2 linked regions of the Yarrowia lipolytica genome follow. The protein of the gene in region 1 interacts with the protein of each later gene in a pairwise test. Links are inferred from orthologs where the notes say so. Each region holds a gene or a part of one and is shown on either strand. Other genes may lie near its edges. The genes, in order: YALI1_F07938g and YALI1_A09553g.

The links.
Region 2: the proteins of YALI1_F07938g (region 1) and YALI1_A09553g interact in a two-hybrid assay, tested with the Schizosaccharomyces pombe proteins (2 studies listed by BioGRID). The link is inferred for Yarrowia lipolytica from reciprocal best matches to the Schizosaccharomyces pombe genes sec24 and thi2.

What each region holds. Positions count from the first base shown.
Region 1 is NC_090775.1:788,182-797,175, reverse strand, and holds YALI1_F07938g (uncharacterized protein), read left to right. Parts: upstream 1-3,339; coding exon 3,340-6,144; downstream 6,145-8,994. Other genes in the region: YALI1_F07907g (uncharacterized protein), read left to right, coding at 6,384-7,193; YALI1_F07884g (uncharacterized protein), read right to left, coding at 7,617-8,732. UniProt on the Schizosaccharomyces pombe protein: Component of the coat protein complex II (COPII) which promotes the formation of transport vesicles from the endoplasmic reticulum (ER).
Region 2 is NC_090770.1:952,489-959,692, forward strand, and holds YALI1_A09553g (uncharacterized protein), read left to right. Parts: upstream 1-2,822; coding exon 2,823-3,776; downstream 3,777-7,204. Other genes in the region: YALI1_A09524g (uncharacterized protein), read left to right, coding at 1-590; YALI1_A09576g (uncharacterized protein), read right to left, coding at 3,990-5,126; YALI1_A09593g (uncharacterized protein), read left to right, coding at 6,813-7,204. UniProt on the Schizosaccharomyces pombe protein: Involved in biosynthesis of the thiamine precursor thiazole. Catalyzes the conversion of NAD and glycine to adenosine diphosphate 5-(2-hydroxyethyl)-4-methylthiazole-2-carboxylic acid (ADT), an adenylated thiazole intermediate.

The sequences.
Region 1 (8,994 bases):
CTCATGTCATGATTGTTGGTGAGGTGCAGCTTATCAGCTCGTACCGACGGGAAAAGACACGGTTGGGCGGCTCCGCCACGTGCAGATCTGATCTAAAGCTCATGTTCATGGACCTCTGTAATAATAACAATGGGACGGCGTCTCTGGCGAAGATAAAACTTTTCCAACTCATATTTGGTCGTCGCCCAACAAGTGCAACGCGGCCGACAGGGGTTTGTAGGCTTTTTCCGCCCGCTGCCGCTGAGGTAAGCAGTGGACATCGAGCCGTGAGTGAAGCACGACAAGTGAGAATATACAAGTAGCCGTCTTCTACAGGCGTCTTCTACAGGCGTCTTCTACAGGCGTCTTCTACAGGCACTAGTAGTTCTTTACATGGCATATGATTTTAGACCGTCTGCTTGATGTCTTATGTGTCAAAGAGCTCAGACATTGCCAGAGTTTAGGAGGTGCCAAGATCGTCCAATGGTGAGACTGCATTGACATTTTCAAATTGACAGCTTCCAGTGATGTGTGCTAGTGCAAATCTGGCATATTATAGCGTCATCTGGTATCGCACCCGCCTTTGGCATGCTATACCTACGTCGCGCTCGTGTATAGTAGCTGCGGTAGATGCCCACTAAAGAACAAGCCTTGCGCTAGCATCAACACTAATTCTCGGTCCCCAGAATGCCGCAGGGCTTTTCGCTGGATACGCGAGTTCCCAAAGCAGAAGGGATGGCCTGTGGGTACGTCCACCGTGAAATTATCGGAGAAAAAATGCCAGCGTCGAGCCCGTAGCGATGAGCAATGAGTATCTCAAGGATAGTTCGGTGAATACACCGTGGTTCTTAGACATGAGACATTACATTAGAAACGACCCGTGCGGGACTTATTAAACCTATGATACATGTGTGAGTGGCTCCAGGGCACCGCCATCTTACGCCACTCGACGTTTCCCAATAACTATATAAATGTCTGGTGCCTGTATACAACTGTTTGTAGAATGCTTCTTAGCTCATCCTGCACTATACTGCATATATTAATTTCGCTAAACACTCTACCCCCAAGATCCCGCAGTTGTCATGCACCCCGAATGGGCTCGGCTAGGATACGGAGATGCACAAGTCGGATGGCTGTGGGTGGAAAAAGAACTGTCGTAAATGATGAGAAGACTCAAAAGGAGCAAGTCTGAAACTTGTGTGTCTCACGGCAAAGATTCCATGGATTGATGGGCGGGGTTGATGGACGCAGCCCACGTACGTGCGTCGCTAATAAGGTACGTACTATTTTTTTTACCCTTTTTTGTATCCTTTTTTTTACCCCCAAAAAAACGCAACCCCCGTATAAGCCTATCGAGGCGCGAGCATGTATCTATATGGGAGCTTTACGGGCACAGTAGTCGTATCGCAAGAGCAAGATCCAGATGCCAAGGTCGGGTCTCGGAGCATATTGTGTTTTGCACGCGCGGCTCGTCCAAGAGTGGCCCGGTGGATCTGTCGGAATACGAGCGGGGAGATTGTTGTGTCTTACAGCCACGACGTATTCCATACGGACACCAGCGTGGTCGGGGACAGTTGAGGACATGTCTCACCCACTTTTCGAAGCTCGCGATTTAGATCTAGGGAGGAGTAGCGTATTGGCAGATGGTGGGTACGTTGGTGAGTTGGTGGAGTAGCTCCGTAGACGGATAGCAGAGCAGTAACAAACATTGGCAGTAGGCGGTCTGTCAATCCGACCGCATCCCCTATAGGTTGCATCGGCCCTCAAGGGTCGACACATACCACTCTCAATCTTGCTCCAGAGACTTCCAGTAGTTTAGATACAACAATGGCAATGAAGATACAAGTATGTACAGTAGATACGGGTACAAGAACTGATAACGAAGACAATGATTGTATGGGGTCTTGATGTATGTAGTACGAGTATGGACTACGCTGTTATTCTTTGAAGAACTTGTCTTGCTGGACAACACCATCTGCACACACCACGACAAATATATACAATATTCTATCGCTCATATTTACAATATTCTATCGCTCATATTTACAATATTCTATTTCTCATATTTCTTTCAGTTTTTTTGCATTATCAATAATCATGTAAAGTATGTGCTGTACAATACTGAAAGATAGTACATAGATACGACTATCGTACAAACTGGTAGTACTTACACTGGTAGTACAAGTACAAGTAGAAGACAATCAATATTCTCAGACTCAACAAACGACGATCATGGTTACTACAAGGTACGTACTCGCACTCGTACCACCTGTACTTAGTTATACAACCGACACTTGTACTGGCACTCGCACTCCTAACACGTCGACGCGTTTGACTCGCACGGCGGAATGTACCATGCGCCAAAACAGTAATGATTTTGTCGAAATGGGGTGATTTCTGCAAGAAAAAATATATAAATAAGCCACAATCTTCTCATTTAATCATGTGTAAAAAAACAGGACCTTTACCACGTCATTTTGAGTGCCTGTCGTTCCCTTTCGCGTGGCTCGCGTTGCTGTCAGAACTATTTCACACCGCCAAATACACTTCCTGCTTCAAGGCTGAACAACACCACATTACGCTTTCAGCGAAGAGATCTATATCTGAAGAGAACGGTGGAGATGGGGATGTATTGAACGAGTAGAAGGGGCAAAGGAGGGTGGAAAATTTACTGGACGGTAAAATTATTTGTTTGAGGGGCCTCGTACCCTAGCCCTGATCTATATTGGTCTGTTAATCTCGTCTGTTGCCACCCAACCACCCCTCCCCTTAGATTCACGTGACTCTTACGTGGCATTACCCGGCCGGCTTCTGAACAGCACACCAAAGTAAACTCCCACGTTAACATAACTATCACGGTGTGAACACGACTGAGGTGAGTAACAAGTGGACTAGGAGACGGTGAGTCCATTGACTTGAGATGAACGGAGGATGACAAGTGACACAGAATGAGTCGCATCAAAACCACACCTTCAATTGCCATCTACAGCTGCAAAGGTGTCATATATGGGGACAACCTGGTGCGACACGATTTGTGACACGGACTCAGAGAAGGACACAACGACACAGATCAAAAGGTGGCTGATCGGACACAAGCAAAATATTGATTCTACACGAACGCAATCATCACCAAAACCACTTTCGGAATTGATGGTTTTGCTATAATACCGTCATGTGCAGCGTCTGTGCCTGTGTCTGATGTCGGGTTTGATGTGCCACAAACAGGATCCCGCGATCTTTCGTCGCATCAGATGGGACGATCTTGTCCGCTCGAGATCTATGGCCTTTCACCACCGCGACTGCGTCGTCACATTTCCCGTCCGTGCCTGCAGCCACTCACCAATACCTTGACTAACCCAGATGAGCCAAGAACACCCCGAACAGGGCTCTTCGTCCAAGCGACGGGTCTACCCCCAGCAACAGTATGACTTCGCCGCGGCCCAGCCCGCCGGCTACTCGATGCCCGACCCCACCCAGCCCTACGGAGCCTCCGCCTCTCCCAGTGCTGCCATGTACGGTGGAGCTCATGCCATTCCCTCGCCCGCAGCTTTCCAGCCCCACACCGCCAACGTGCAGTCTGGCGCGTTCGCTCCTCCCCCCGGGACTCCCGGATCGGCCGTGGATCCTCCCGTGGCCCCCGGTGTGGCTGGAGGAATGGCCTACGGCGCCCCCCAGGCCGCTGGAGCCGCGTACGGCTACCAGGGTCTTACCAACCAGATGGGCAACCTCAACATTGGCGGCGGCGGCGCCTACCAAGGAGGTGCTCCACCCGGAGCGGCTGGCGGAGCTCACATGGCTGCCCCGACCCAGCTCAACCAGATCTACAACACCGATCTGCTGCAGAACTTCCCCCCTCCCATTTCCGATCTCACCCTGCCTCCCCCTCCCGTGATCTTGCCCCCCGGATCCTCGGTGACTGGCAACCCCGATCCCAACGCTGACTCGGAGTTCATGCGATGCACCCTCAACACCGTGCCTACATCGTCGTCGCTGCTCAAAAAGTCCAAGTTGCCGTTTGCATTGGTCATCCGACCCTACACTGCGCTGCGAGATGCCGACGAGAATGTCCCCACCGTGGCCGACACCACCATTGCTCGATGCCGACGATGTCGGTCCTACATCAACCCCTATGTTGTCTTTTTGGAGGGTGGCGCTCGATGGCGGTGCAACATGTGCAACCTGACCAACGATGTGCCCTCTGGCTTTGACTATGATGCCGTGGCCAACAAGCCCCGAGACCGATGGTCCCGAGCGGAGCTCAACCACTCTGTCGTTGAGTTCGTGGCTCCCGCAGAGTACATGGTGCGACCTCCTCAGCCTCTGGTCTACGTGTTCGTTCTGGATGTGTCTGTGCACTCTGTCAAGAACGGTCTGCTGGCCACCGCTGCGCGAACCATCAAGGAGTCGCTATCACGAATCCCCAACGTGGATAACCGAACCCGAGTCGGTTTCCTCGCAGTCGACTCGTCGCTGCACTACTTCGCCATTCCCCGAAAGGAGGACGTGGCGGAGGGCGAGGGCGAAGAGGGAGAGGAGAACGAGTGGCCCGAGCCCCGGATGATGGTTGTCTCCGACATTGACGACCCCTTCCTCCCCATGCCTACCGACCTGCTGGTTAATCTCTCCCAGTGCAAGGGCGGCATTGAAAAGCTGCTGGATTCTCTGCAGTCCATGTTTGCTCACACAGTCAACCCCGCCTCGGCTCTGGGATCTGCTGTCGTGGCTGCTCACAAGCTCATTGCCAACATTGGCGGTAAGATTGTGTGTCTGACCTCTACCCTCCCCAACGTTGGACAGGGCAAGCTCGAGGTTCGAGATGACAAGAAGGCTCTGGGTACCTCGCGAGAGGGCCAGATGCTCCAGACAGCCTCCACCTTCTACAAATCGTTTGCCGTGGAGTGCTCCAAGACTCAGGTGACCGTGGACATGTTCCTGTTCTCCTCTCACTACCAGGACGTTGCATCTCTCTCCAACCTGCCCCGATTCTCCGCCGGTCAGACTTACTTCTACCCTGGCTGGATTGCCTCAAACCCTGAGGACGCCAACAAATTTGCTCTGGAGTTCTCCGAGTACCTGTCTCAGGAGTTGGCTACCGAGGCCGTTCTGCGAGTGCGATCTTGCGACGGTATTCGAATGAGCGCCTTCTACGGCAACTTCTTCTCCCGATCTTCGGATCTGTGCTCTTTCTCCACTTTCCCTCGAGATCAGAGCTACGTGATTGAGGTCAATATTGAGGAGACGATTGTCAAGCCCTGGGTGACTTTCCAGGCCGCTATTCTGCACAGCACTGCCTCTGGCGAGCGACGCATCCGAGTCATCACCCGGGCCTTCCCCACCTCGGCTCTGCTGCAGGACATTTACGCGTCTGCTGACCAGATCGCTATCACCACTTACCTTGCCAACAAGGCAGTGGAGAAGGCTCTGCAAAAGGGTCCTCAGGACGCACGGGATTTGCTCATGAACCGACTCAACGAGATGTTCACCTGCTACAAGAAGGATTTGATGACCACCAACGTCGGCGCCTCCGCCCCCCTGCAGTTCTGCACCAACCTGCGAATGCTGCCTCTGCTGGTGAACGCTCTGATCAAGCACATTGGTTTCCGAAAGACCTCGCAGATCCCCTCGGATCTGCGGTCTGCGGCCCTGTGTCTCCTGTCGACCCTGCCCGACAAGTACCTGATCCAGTACATTTATCCCAACTTTTACAACCTCATCTTCATGCCCGATGAAGCTGGTCTGCCTGACGCCGAGACCGGCCAGATTGTCATGCCTCCCTGCACAAACCTCAGTGGCGAGCATCTGATCAGCCATGGTCTGTTCCTCATTGACGACGGCCAGGTCATGTTCCTGTGGGTAGGCCGGGATGCACAGCCTGCACTGTTGCAGGACGTGTTTGGCGTGTCTTCCATCACCGAGGTGCCCACAGGCAAGACAGAACTGCCCGTGCTGGACAACCAGTTCAACGAGCGAATCCGAAACATCATTTCCAAGGCTCGAGAAAAGACAGATGCCATCACCTACCAGCATCTGTACGTGGTGCGGGAGGACGGCGAGCCTGCTCTGCGACTGTGGGCCACCACCCATCTGGTCGAGGACCGAGTGGAGCAGAGCGGCGTCACTTACCATCAGTTCCTCACCTCCATTCGGGAGAAGCTGAACTCTTAGATGTAAAATGTATTAATAACGAATGGCTGTTTGATCACCTGGCACAGGTTGAGGATTTGTACGAATGATGCCAGTCAGTCCATGAACTGGAATGGTTAATGGTACGTACATGTAGAAGCATGGCGTACATTGTAATACATCATAATAATACGAGACAGAGTATATGCACAACCTTAAAAAAATCGAAGTCTTGAGCTCGGTGAAAACTGAATCATCTTACAATATAAGGCACACACAACATGTCTAAAATTTCACGAAAAGAGTTATTTGGAGGCGGGAGCGACAGCGAGGGCGAAGTTGGAAACTCGTCGTATGCAGGCTACGAGAATCTGTTTGCGTTCGAGGAGGTTGAGGTCGAGAATGATGACACTGATTCGGACCAGGAGATGACGGTGGTTGAGGTCTCAGAAGCTGTTGAGGGAGACGATGGCTCGGAGTCTGAGGAGGCTCCCGAGTTCACATTCAATCTGTTTTCTGGCGCGCCCGAAACGGTTGTTGTCAAGGACGTGAAGCCTGTGTTTGAGGGGTTTGTGGATGAGGGCACTGCCAGTATTGGTCGGGCCAAGGAGAAGTTCAACGACGAGTATGCTGCTGCTGCGCGCAACAAGTTTCGTCCCTTGGCGTACTACTTTACGTTTGCAGAGCCCGAGCCCAAGAAGCAGGATCTGGTAGCCCAGTTTCGAGATATGGCTGTGGACGCAGATTCCGTCCTCAAGGTGGGCGGGTACCATCGGTATGATGTTCCTAGCAAGGTGCTGGACGTAAGCGCTCATAATGCCGAAGTGGAGAAGAGTGAGCGACGGGCCCGACCGGGCAAGAAGCGACGGCAGAAGATGCGCGAGGGCAAGGTGCACAAGAGTGACGACTTTGGCACTCGAGAGTACGGAGCCAGCCGGCAGTATGGAGGAGGTGTGTTCGAGTATGGAGGGTCTGGTATTAATATGTTTCCTTTAGGTCAGAGAGGCGGTTTCAGAGGTGGTCGGGGAGGTGGCCGAGGCCGGGGAGGTGTCAGAGGACGAGGTGGAAGAGGTAGAGGTCGGGGAAACTAAAGAGGGCCTGGAGGGGGAGCAGAAAGGGAGAACAGAAGTAGGAACATTAGGAAAGGATAAGGAAGGACACATTCGGACTACAAGTATATATTTATAAGGGGATGATATAATGAACATGAAATCACGTTACTCGTTGTGCACCTCACCATGGTTAGGCCTAAGAGGATGGATGCTACGAGAGGTATTTTACTGTAGGTAGCAGTGGAACATGCTCACGACACTTTTGGTATGTACGGGTGTTTGTCTCCTACAGTATATGTTGGTTAATGCAATATATTGTCAGCTGTGCGGAGACAGGCAACTCTTGTTGACTTATTGAGGGAAGGCTAGACCTCAATTGGTACCATCGACTGTGCCATTCATGACCTATAGTCGTTCTTTTCTTGGTTGTTGTCAGCTCACGACCCTTCCGTCGTTCGCTTCCTACTTTAGAGGCGCCAGCGCACCCTTCATCACCTTAGCCTCCATTCCATCTACCGTCAATCCTCCGCCACCTCTACTGACAGCCTCTGCAACCACAGTTTCCAATCTCGCATGGTTCTGTTGCAGACTCTTGAGTCCCGGAGTGGCGCGGGTGATTCTCTCCTTGATTCTCAGGTTTAGAGCGGAAGCCACATCTCGCCAGAATTTTGAGTTGAGGTTAGAATCAAGCAGATCCGCGATTCGAGGCAGCTCAGAGACAGGTGTAGCAGACTTGTCGTCTCCTTCTGCAGGTACCACGGCACGTGACAGCAGAGTGCCCAATGTCGACACTGCTCGAGAGTGCTGACTAATTGTATGCATGGCGTGTTCCAGCGACTCGTCTGAGTTGACTGAGCGCGCCAGAAGAGAAATTGACTGTGAAATGTAGTTGGACAGCGCTGATTGGACGGCCGACGCAAGTTGACGTTCGTCTAAGATGGCTAGACCGACAATAGCTGAAGAGATGGCGGTTCTTTCGGCCGAAGTCGACACTGAAGACACACTCTTGATTGAAGAAACGCATCTCAGTGTCAGTTTCTTATCAGCCTCCTTCAGTAACTTCTGATGGTCTCTGAAGATCTGTAAAGATGCTAGACCGGGATGGATTTTCGAATGGGTGTGTAAATCTCGAATCAGAGAAGCTGATCCAGCCATATCTGATGTGTTGTTGAGTTGTACAGCCAGGTAGAGGTACCAGGTGAGCGATCTGAGCAGATCGGTGGTATGGTGAACCCGTTTGAGAGCCGAGTAAAGATTGTCTGCTTGGTAGTAAGGACCCAGAACATCTGTCTGCAACTTTTTGTATGACGAATTGACATCCTTCATGGGCGTTTCCAGAGCCTTGAGCGTGTCCTCCTTGGTGCTTACATCAGCTACACGTGACAGCAGCTCCTTGTGATTGTCTCTGCATAACGTGCGTACCTGGTCGTCGAGATGCTGTACGTCGTAGGATATTTTCTTGATGGGGATGTCGAGATCAATGTCCTCATCACGTGACGACGATGTCTGCAGCACCAGCTGGTTGGCGTAGGCCACAGGGTCGAATTCTGCGTCCAGAAACTGGTCAATGTCGAGCATGGTGGTTGTGACGTATACCGTATTGAACTGTATGTGGTGATGTTTGGAGAAGGTGTATAAATAATTAGGTTTTGAAGAGGATCTGGAGGTGGTTCCAAGGAGACCATAGGATGGTGGTTTTTCCGAGGCTAAAACGTGAAATCTAGACTGTGATTTATTGTGAATAAAATGCAACTTTCAGATTTGCAAAATATATACTCCAATATCTCCTTTCAGACACATTTTTCATTTTGAAGGTGTCCTGCAGGATGAGCTTAATGGA
Region 2 (7,204 bases), on another chromosome or scaffold:
TTTTTTCCGTATCAACTTTTCAACCCAACATGCTGGGAGACACGGCCCTCAAACTGGTGCACGATTCGCGCCGAACTGCTGCCCTTGATTTGCTTCCAGCGTATCAGGAAGAGCTGGTTCGTGGTGTGTGCCGAGAAATTCGCCAACTGGATGCCTCCATCAACAAGACACAGGATGAACCGGGATACGACCCACAAGATCGAGTGGCCCATTGCAACCTCCTGGTACAGCATCTCGCCATGCGACGAGACAAACGCTGCTTGTTGGCATATCAATTCACGCGTGCCCGGCGTATGAATGAAGCCGCATGGAAACAGACGGAGGAACCAAACCTCAACGGTAATGAGCAGGAGTACATGAAGGCGTATGAGGATCTCATTGTTGACATCAAGGGCCCGTACACCGATATCGATCTGACAGGATCATTGGAGCCTCCCAACGATGTGTTCATTGATGTTAGAGTGTTGCAAAGCGTGGGCGAGGTACAAACTGAATACGGAGTGTTCAACCTTGAGAAAGATTCGCAATTTTTTGTTCGGCGAAGTGATGTCCAGACATTGTTACTTCAGGGCTACTTGAAAGAGATTTAGATGCGGGGACGTGGGGGGTTGGATTATTTATGGCTTGTTCGTTTGCATGAAGGATGAGTGTCTGCACATGTATTTCACTAATGATTATTTTATTATTTTTACTGCAACGCACAAACTGCGTATCACTGGTGTCTGCCACTACAAGTATGTACTGTATCCTCTCATTTCAAAAATCTCGTTTATGACTTGAGCATATATGGACATAATGTAGCTCTTTCGCCGAAGATGATCTTACTGTGGGTACAACATGTACTGTAAGTAACATCCAAGCGTCCAATCCTTTTTTGTACTTGTAATGTTATCAATCCATAAGTTCACAACGATTAAGTTCAGAAAAACCTCCGCATCCTGACTAATACTTCTTCTAATAAGAAGCAAATAGCAAGTACGTAGCTTTATTGGTTCCTTTCCTTGCTGATGCCTCCTATTGCGGCCAATGAGTCGACTTCGTCCATCTCCTACAGCATACGTTGTCTTAGATGTATGTATGTAGCCTCCGCCACCCGTAACGTGTACTTGTAGCAAGAAGCTACCCATTTCTATCCGTCCTCTATACTACAAGTACTGTGTGTACTGTATGTACTGTTCTTTATGTACTCATATGTACATACAGTACTTATAGAAGTGTCATTAATCTAAGAGACCACTCTCGTACAAGTACTACTACAATACGTCGTAAAAAATGGGGTGGATACAACGGCAATCATCAGTGAAACAACCTTTAAGACAGATTTCCACATCATGATTGGTACACGCTGTTGAGGTTCGGGCAGCTACAAGTGGGCTAACATGGCAGACTAAATATGCCGTACCAGTAGCAGGTGGCTCGTTGGGACTCATTAAAACCATCTTGGCACTTCAAATATGCACAGGAATCCTGTAGCTAACTACTGTACAGTAGTGACTCGGGTGACTCTGTACGGAGCTATTTATGAATTGTGTGACTCGGATGACTCGGATGACTCGTCTCGTGCATTTTCGGCCGCCTGGGGTTACAAAGACCCACAAATGGTCCGTCCACACCTATGGAGTTGTGATTGCAGACTCTGACTCTTACTGTCTTGAGTCCTTACTACTTTGCAAGTACTCGTACTACTAATTAGCTACTTGTAGCTTCTTGTAGCAGCCGCAAGAACATACTTTTGAGAGCCACTTGATTGGAGTCAAGGGACCCACTCAGTGTGCACCGCGAGATAGCAATCGGCGCACTGACGGAGGCAGAAGGTGACACCGAGGGGTAGTCGTAAGTTTCATCACGTTGGGCATTAGATTCATATTGAACTTAGGTTACACGATTTCCGGGGATTCCTTTGGTTTCTTTCCGGGGGATTCTTTGTGGTCAACAGTTCGTGCCTAAATTAGACTTTTCATAGAGTCAATTGAAGACTCAAGAGTTTAGAGCGGAGAGAGCCAGAGGCACAAAAGACAACGCTCAGAAGACCTCTGGGGTGTAAACAGGCCGTAAGGCACTTATCAGATTGATTTAGGGTACTGTTCTACGTTTTTTTACCTGTCTCTGAGCTCTCGAGTCGATATCTATGGGGCTACCCTATTTTGACATGACTCCTCCAACGCACCAAATCTGCACACAAATGACTCAACATGATTGGGGCGACTCAGTAGGGCGACTCGCTGCGAGTCAGACAGTGCAGGAGATAACATTGAGAAGGAGAGCGTCGATAAGACGTACAATGCTCGACTCGAAAAAGACACAGCAGTGACCCAAATTCAACAGGGGAAATGTTGAATTGAAGTTTGGCATTAATTGAGCTATTTCGAGGCCCTCTGACATATATTGAACGCTTCTTTCTACTATCATGCGCAAACCCAATCAATCTTGTCGTTGACTTCTGGATGAGGGGGATCTAGACTGTAAGGCTAGAGCTTAATGTCTACCAACAACCGTCCAAGACTCTAGCCGCTATTAGGGCACCAGTCACCATTCACTACTGTGCTTCAATTGGATTGTTTCCAAACCGTGCGTGCCATGGTGTCGGTTCTAAACCAGTACCCTGTTAGATAAACAGCGTACAAGCCATTGTTTAGTCCAAGCCATAGCCAGTGACTTTGCTTAACTCGACTCATTTTGAACTTTAGCGCAACTCTACTGCATCCCTTTTGGTGGCCTGCCGTAAATCACATACTGTCGGCTGCGCTGTAAAAGTATTTAAACAGGGCTGGATCCCCTTGTTACGTCCACACACCCTTCCCCTTATATCACCTACAATTAACATGGCCCCACCTCCTGCTGTCGTTGCCCACCCCCTCTCCTCTCAGGCTACTGGTCTTGATATGGTCCATGAGTTCAACCAGAAGCTCACTAAGTCTGATGAGCACACTTGGGAGTCTTTCAAGTTCGCCCCCATCCGTGAGTCCACTGTCTCTCGAGCTATGACTCGACGATACTTTGAGGATCTTGACAAGTACGCTGAGTCTGATGTTGTTATCATTGGAGCTGGCTCCTGTGGTCTCTCTGCTGCCTATGTTCTTGCCAAGAGCCGACCCGACCTCAAGATTGCCATCGTTGAGGCTGGTGTTGCTCCCGGAGGAGGTGCTTGGCTTGGAGGACAGCTCTTCTCTGCCATGGTTATGCGAAAGCCTGCCGAGCAGTTCCTTGAAGAGATCGGTGTCCCTTACGAAGATGAGGGAGACTACGTCGTTGTTAAGCACGCTGCCCTTTTCACCTCTACTCTCATGAGCCAGGTGCTCAAGTTCCCCAATGTTAAGCTCTTCAACGCTACTGCCGTTGAGGACCTCATTACCCGAAAGGATGCCCAGGGCAACCTTCGAATTGCAGGTGTCGTCACCAACTGGACCCTAGTTTCCATGCACCATGATGACCAGTCCTGTATGGACCCCAACACCATCAATGCTCCTATCATCATCTCCACCACTGGTCATGACGGCCCATTCGGTGCCTTCTCTGTCAAGCGACTTGTCTCCATGAACGCCATTGAGAAGCTAGGTGGCATGCGAGGTCTTGACATGGGCCTTGCTGAGGATGCTATTGTTAAGCGAACCCGAGAGATCGTCCCCGGCCTGGTTGTCGGTGGTATGGAGCTGTCTGAGGTTGACGGTGCCAACCGAATGGGTCCCACTTTCGGTGCTATGGCCCTCAGTGGAGTCAAGGCTGCTGAGACTGTTCTTGAGGTGTTTGATACTCGAAAGAAGCAGAACCAGGAGTAATCTATAACGAAGAATAAATTGATTTATGATATATATATATATATATTACCCTGTATCGAATCTTGCTCGCAGACACTGTAGAATGTATAAGAAGCAGCAGCATACTAATTACTTGTACTTGTAACCAGTCAGACCGCATCTCGGTGGCAAATACCATTGCAAAATATTTTGCACGTCATGTACAGTTATTTTCTATGGCTCTGTATATACCGCCTATCCCATGTTCATAGTGTTTCCACTACCCTTGGGGTTCGCCTCCACAAACTCATCCCATTCCCGTGCCTTCATTGTTTCCCTGTCTGCGGCTTCGTCATCCATGTCATTGTCGCTCTTTTCAGTAGAAGGAATTTCTCCTCCTCCTTCGATGATTCCTCCTCGTCGTTTCTCTTCCTCCAGATAATCCTCAACAGACATGGTGGGGAGATATTGACCTGTTCCACGCACCTTGCTCTGTAGCTGCTGACGAGTGCTCACCAATTTAAACGGTCTGTTTATTTTGCCCATTGAATCGAGAATAGGTCGACCTGCCTCAGTGAGAGGATTCTTCTCAAGCTTGTCAGTGTAGCCTGTCACGTCCTCTATCTGTCTCTCTCGCCCATCCTGATCCTGTTCAGCCTGCGCACGTCTCATCAGATCGATGGGAGGCTCAGGCCTGCTGGGTGCTCTTGCTAGCATTTGAACCTCCATGCTGAGCATCTCAAGTGTATTCAAGGATTTCAGAGTATAGAGCTTCAGCTCCTCCTTTCTCAAGTCTCTGACTTCATCTTCGTCGACATTCGGCGCATCTGGATCTTTCTGCTTGGCCTCAGTTTTCTGAAGCAAATTCAGTTTTCCTTCCAGTTCCTTCTCGGCCTTGTGTTTGGCAATCTTCTCAGCTCGGAAAACGGCGGCGTCAGTGGGTCGCAGTTGATCTGAGAGCTCCTTCACCTTGGATGCGACGTTTTCGATGGTTAGCTGGCCCGCCAGAAATGACTCCAGACGAGAGGCATGTGTTTTAGGTAGCAGGCCGTAATGGTCGAGCGATTTGAGAAAGTCATTGTAACTCTTGACTTGGTGGTACACCAGATTTTTGCGATCTTCGGCACCTTGTACTCGTACCCGTTCCAGCGCCAGAGCCTTGTGATAAGGGATTGTCAGGTAAACGATTTCATTTGTTTTTAGGTCCTCCCAGGACTCGTTGTCTGAGAAGATGCCCAAAGACGAGATCATTTTAGAGCATTGATCCAGTGATTCTAGCACCTCCTTGACTTGCAATTGGTACTCTTCGGAGACAAATGGGTGACTGGATCGTTTCAAGGTATCGATTAGATCCAATGAGTGTTGGAATTCCTCCTTCAGTGTTCGAGACATTATGTGATAATGGTGAACCGGTTGTCTTGTCCGCCTTGATATTTCCTGAGACTATGCATGATTGTGTAAGGGCGAGGCTATCCGTGGGTTCAATTCCTGAGTATGTACATTTTTCTATTTTTCAGTAGGACCACATGAACTCAAAGAAGAAAAAAACATGCTTATGTCATACGGATCTTTAGTGGCATGCACCAAAGATACCATGCAAGGGGGGGCGGTGTTGAGACCCTTTGAGGGGCAATCGATACCCTGCCACAACAAATCACATGTACTTGTTGCTGATGGTCGGAGCTCGACCGTTTCTGTGAGCACTCCTCCTAATTATAACTAACCAGGTGCGGGCATCCTGAGCTAAGGGTGAGCATGCTGCTTGTGTTGATATCATTGTTTGGATGCAAGTTCTGTACAATGGAGAGGAGCCACATGGGCCGGTATCGGTGTCCTGCAAATATTCCGTGGGGTCACGTGATGGCCACTTGATGCCACGTTTCACTAATTCCGTATTTGTGCATAGGCTCTCTCTAATGACGTCATTCAACTTGTGCATGTAGATCAGGGAGACTGCACAATGTACTCGTATGTACTTGTATGACTCCTCTGAACATCCACATCCAGTTTATCACCTGGAATGGGGACTTTGCACTCTTCCAGGGCTCTATCTCGTTAAGTAGGTTTCTGTTTTGACTGAAAGTGAACCAGTAACATCGAAGTTTCAGAAGTGGGTGGATATAACTCACGCATCTCACCTACGAATACTCTACAGTAAGGTTATTTGTACAGAGGAGTGAAAGATAGGAAGACCGTATATAATAATACGCCTCTTGTTTGAAAAAGGAGCAAAGACAGGGCGTGCGAGAATGACCAACTGTATCCACCCTGTGGTGGTGGATTTACGTTTATGCTATTGCAATTGAGTGTACAAGTTCCTGTATATGATGCGCGGTTGTATTGCTCTATCATTTGTGAACACAGATCCAGCAGTAGGCCAAAAAATACAGTACAAGTACTGTACTGGCACAGTATAGACTCTACATTGTGGTTAAAAAATGACCCTCCACTTGTACCGACAGTATGTACTGTACTCACACTTGTAACATTGCTAATCACATGACTTTCCAAAGTTCTACGTTGTTCCATGAACCCAATCCTGGAAGTTGGTTAGTGAGTGAAATAGTGGCCGCGGTTGTACCAATAACAAGGTTTGCTTTGCACCATGGAACTGAGCAGGTTCACGCGTTCAATTGGATACCAATAACTAACAGAAATGTCTACGTTTATAATCCCTCGGTTCGTTGAGGTGTGCCCAACAAGTGCTAGAAACAACAGATGCAACCCCCCCACAAAGCCCTAACTGTGTCAGTGACGCTTCGGGAATAAAATGGCACGTTCATGATTACTGTACCTATGGTTTACTGTTAAGAACACTCCAGTCCGTGTCATCTTGTCTGTTTACCACGTTGCACCTCTCACTTCCTACACGTCCCAAACGTCTTCATGTCAACCCAAAAACAACGTGCACCTCCAACGTCAGATTTCGTCATAGGGTTCCCTTTCCAACAACGCAGGTAACGTTAATCAGGATAAACTGTGTGCGGTCTATAGCGCTGTGTAACCAAAACGACACATATAAAAGAGCAACTCCCGCCCACCCTCACTGCTCAATTGACTCTAAACAGAAACAAAAAAATGTCTACTGTCTCCACTACCGATTTCAAGCACCCTCAGGTCTACCTGAACAACGACAAGAACTCCTTTGCATACACCTCTTCTCGGGATCGATGGCCTCACATCCTCACTGGTGTCATTGACGATGTTCACAAGACCATTGCCGAGACCCCCGAGGGAGAGAAGCGAGATGAGCTCAAGAAGGTCCTCGAGCAAATCACCGCTCTCAAGCACGATGTTGAGCACGACAAGCCCCTGAAGGAGCTTCCCAACGTTGCCGACGACATCCCCGTTTACAACCGTCTGCTTAAGGAGAACCCTACTTCCTGGCTTCAGGGCGGATGGGTCTTTGTTGAGTGCTACCTCTACCGAGAGCTCCAGGTCTACTTTGATCAGACCAAGAACTGGAAGAC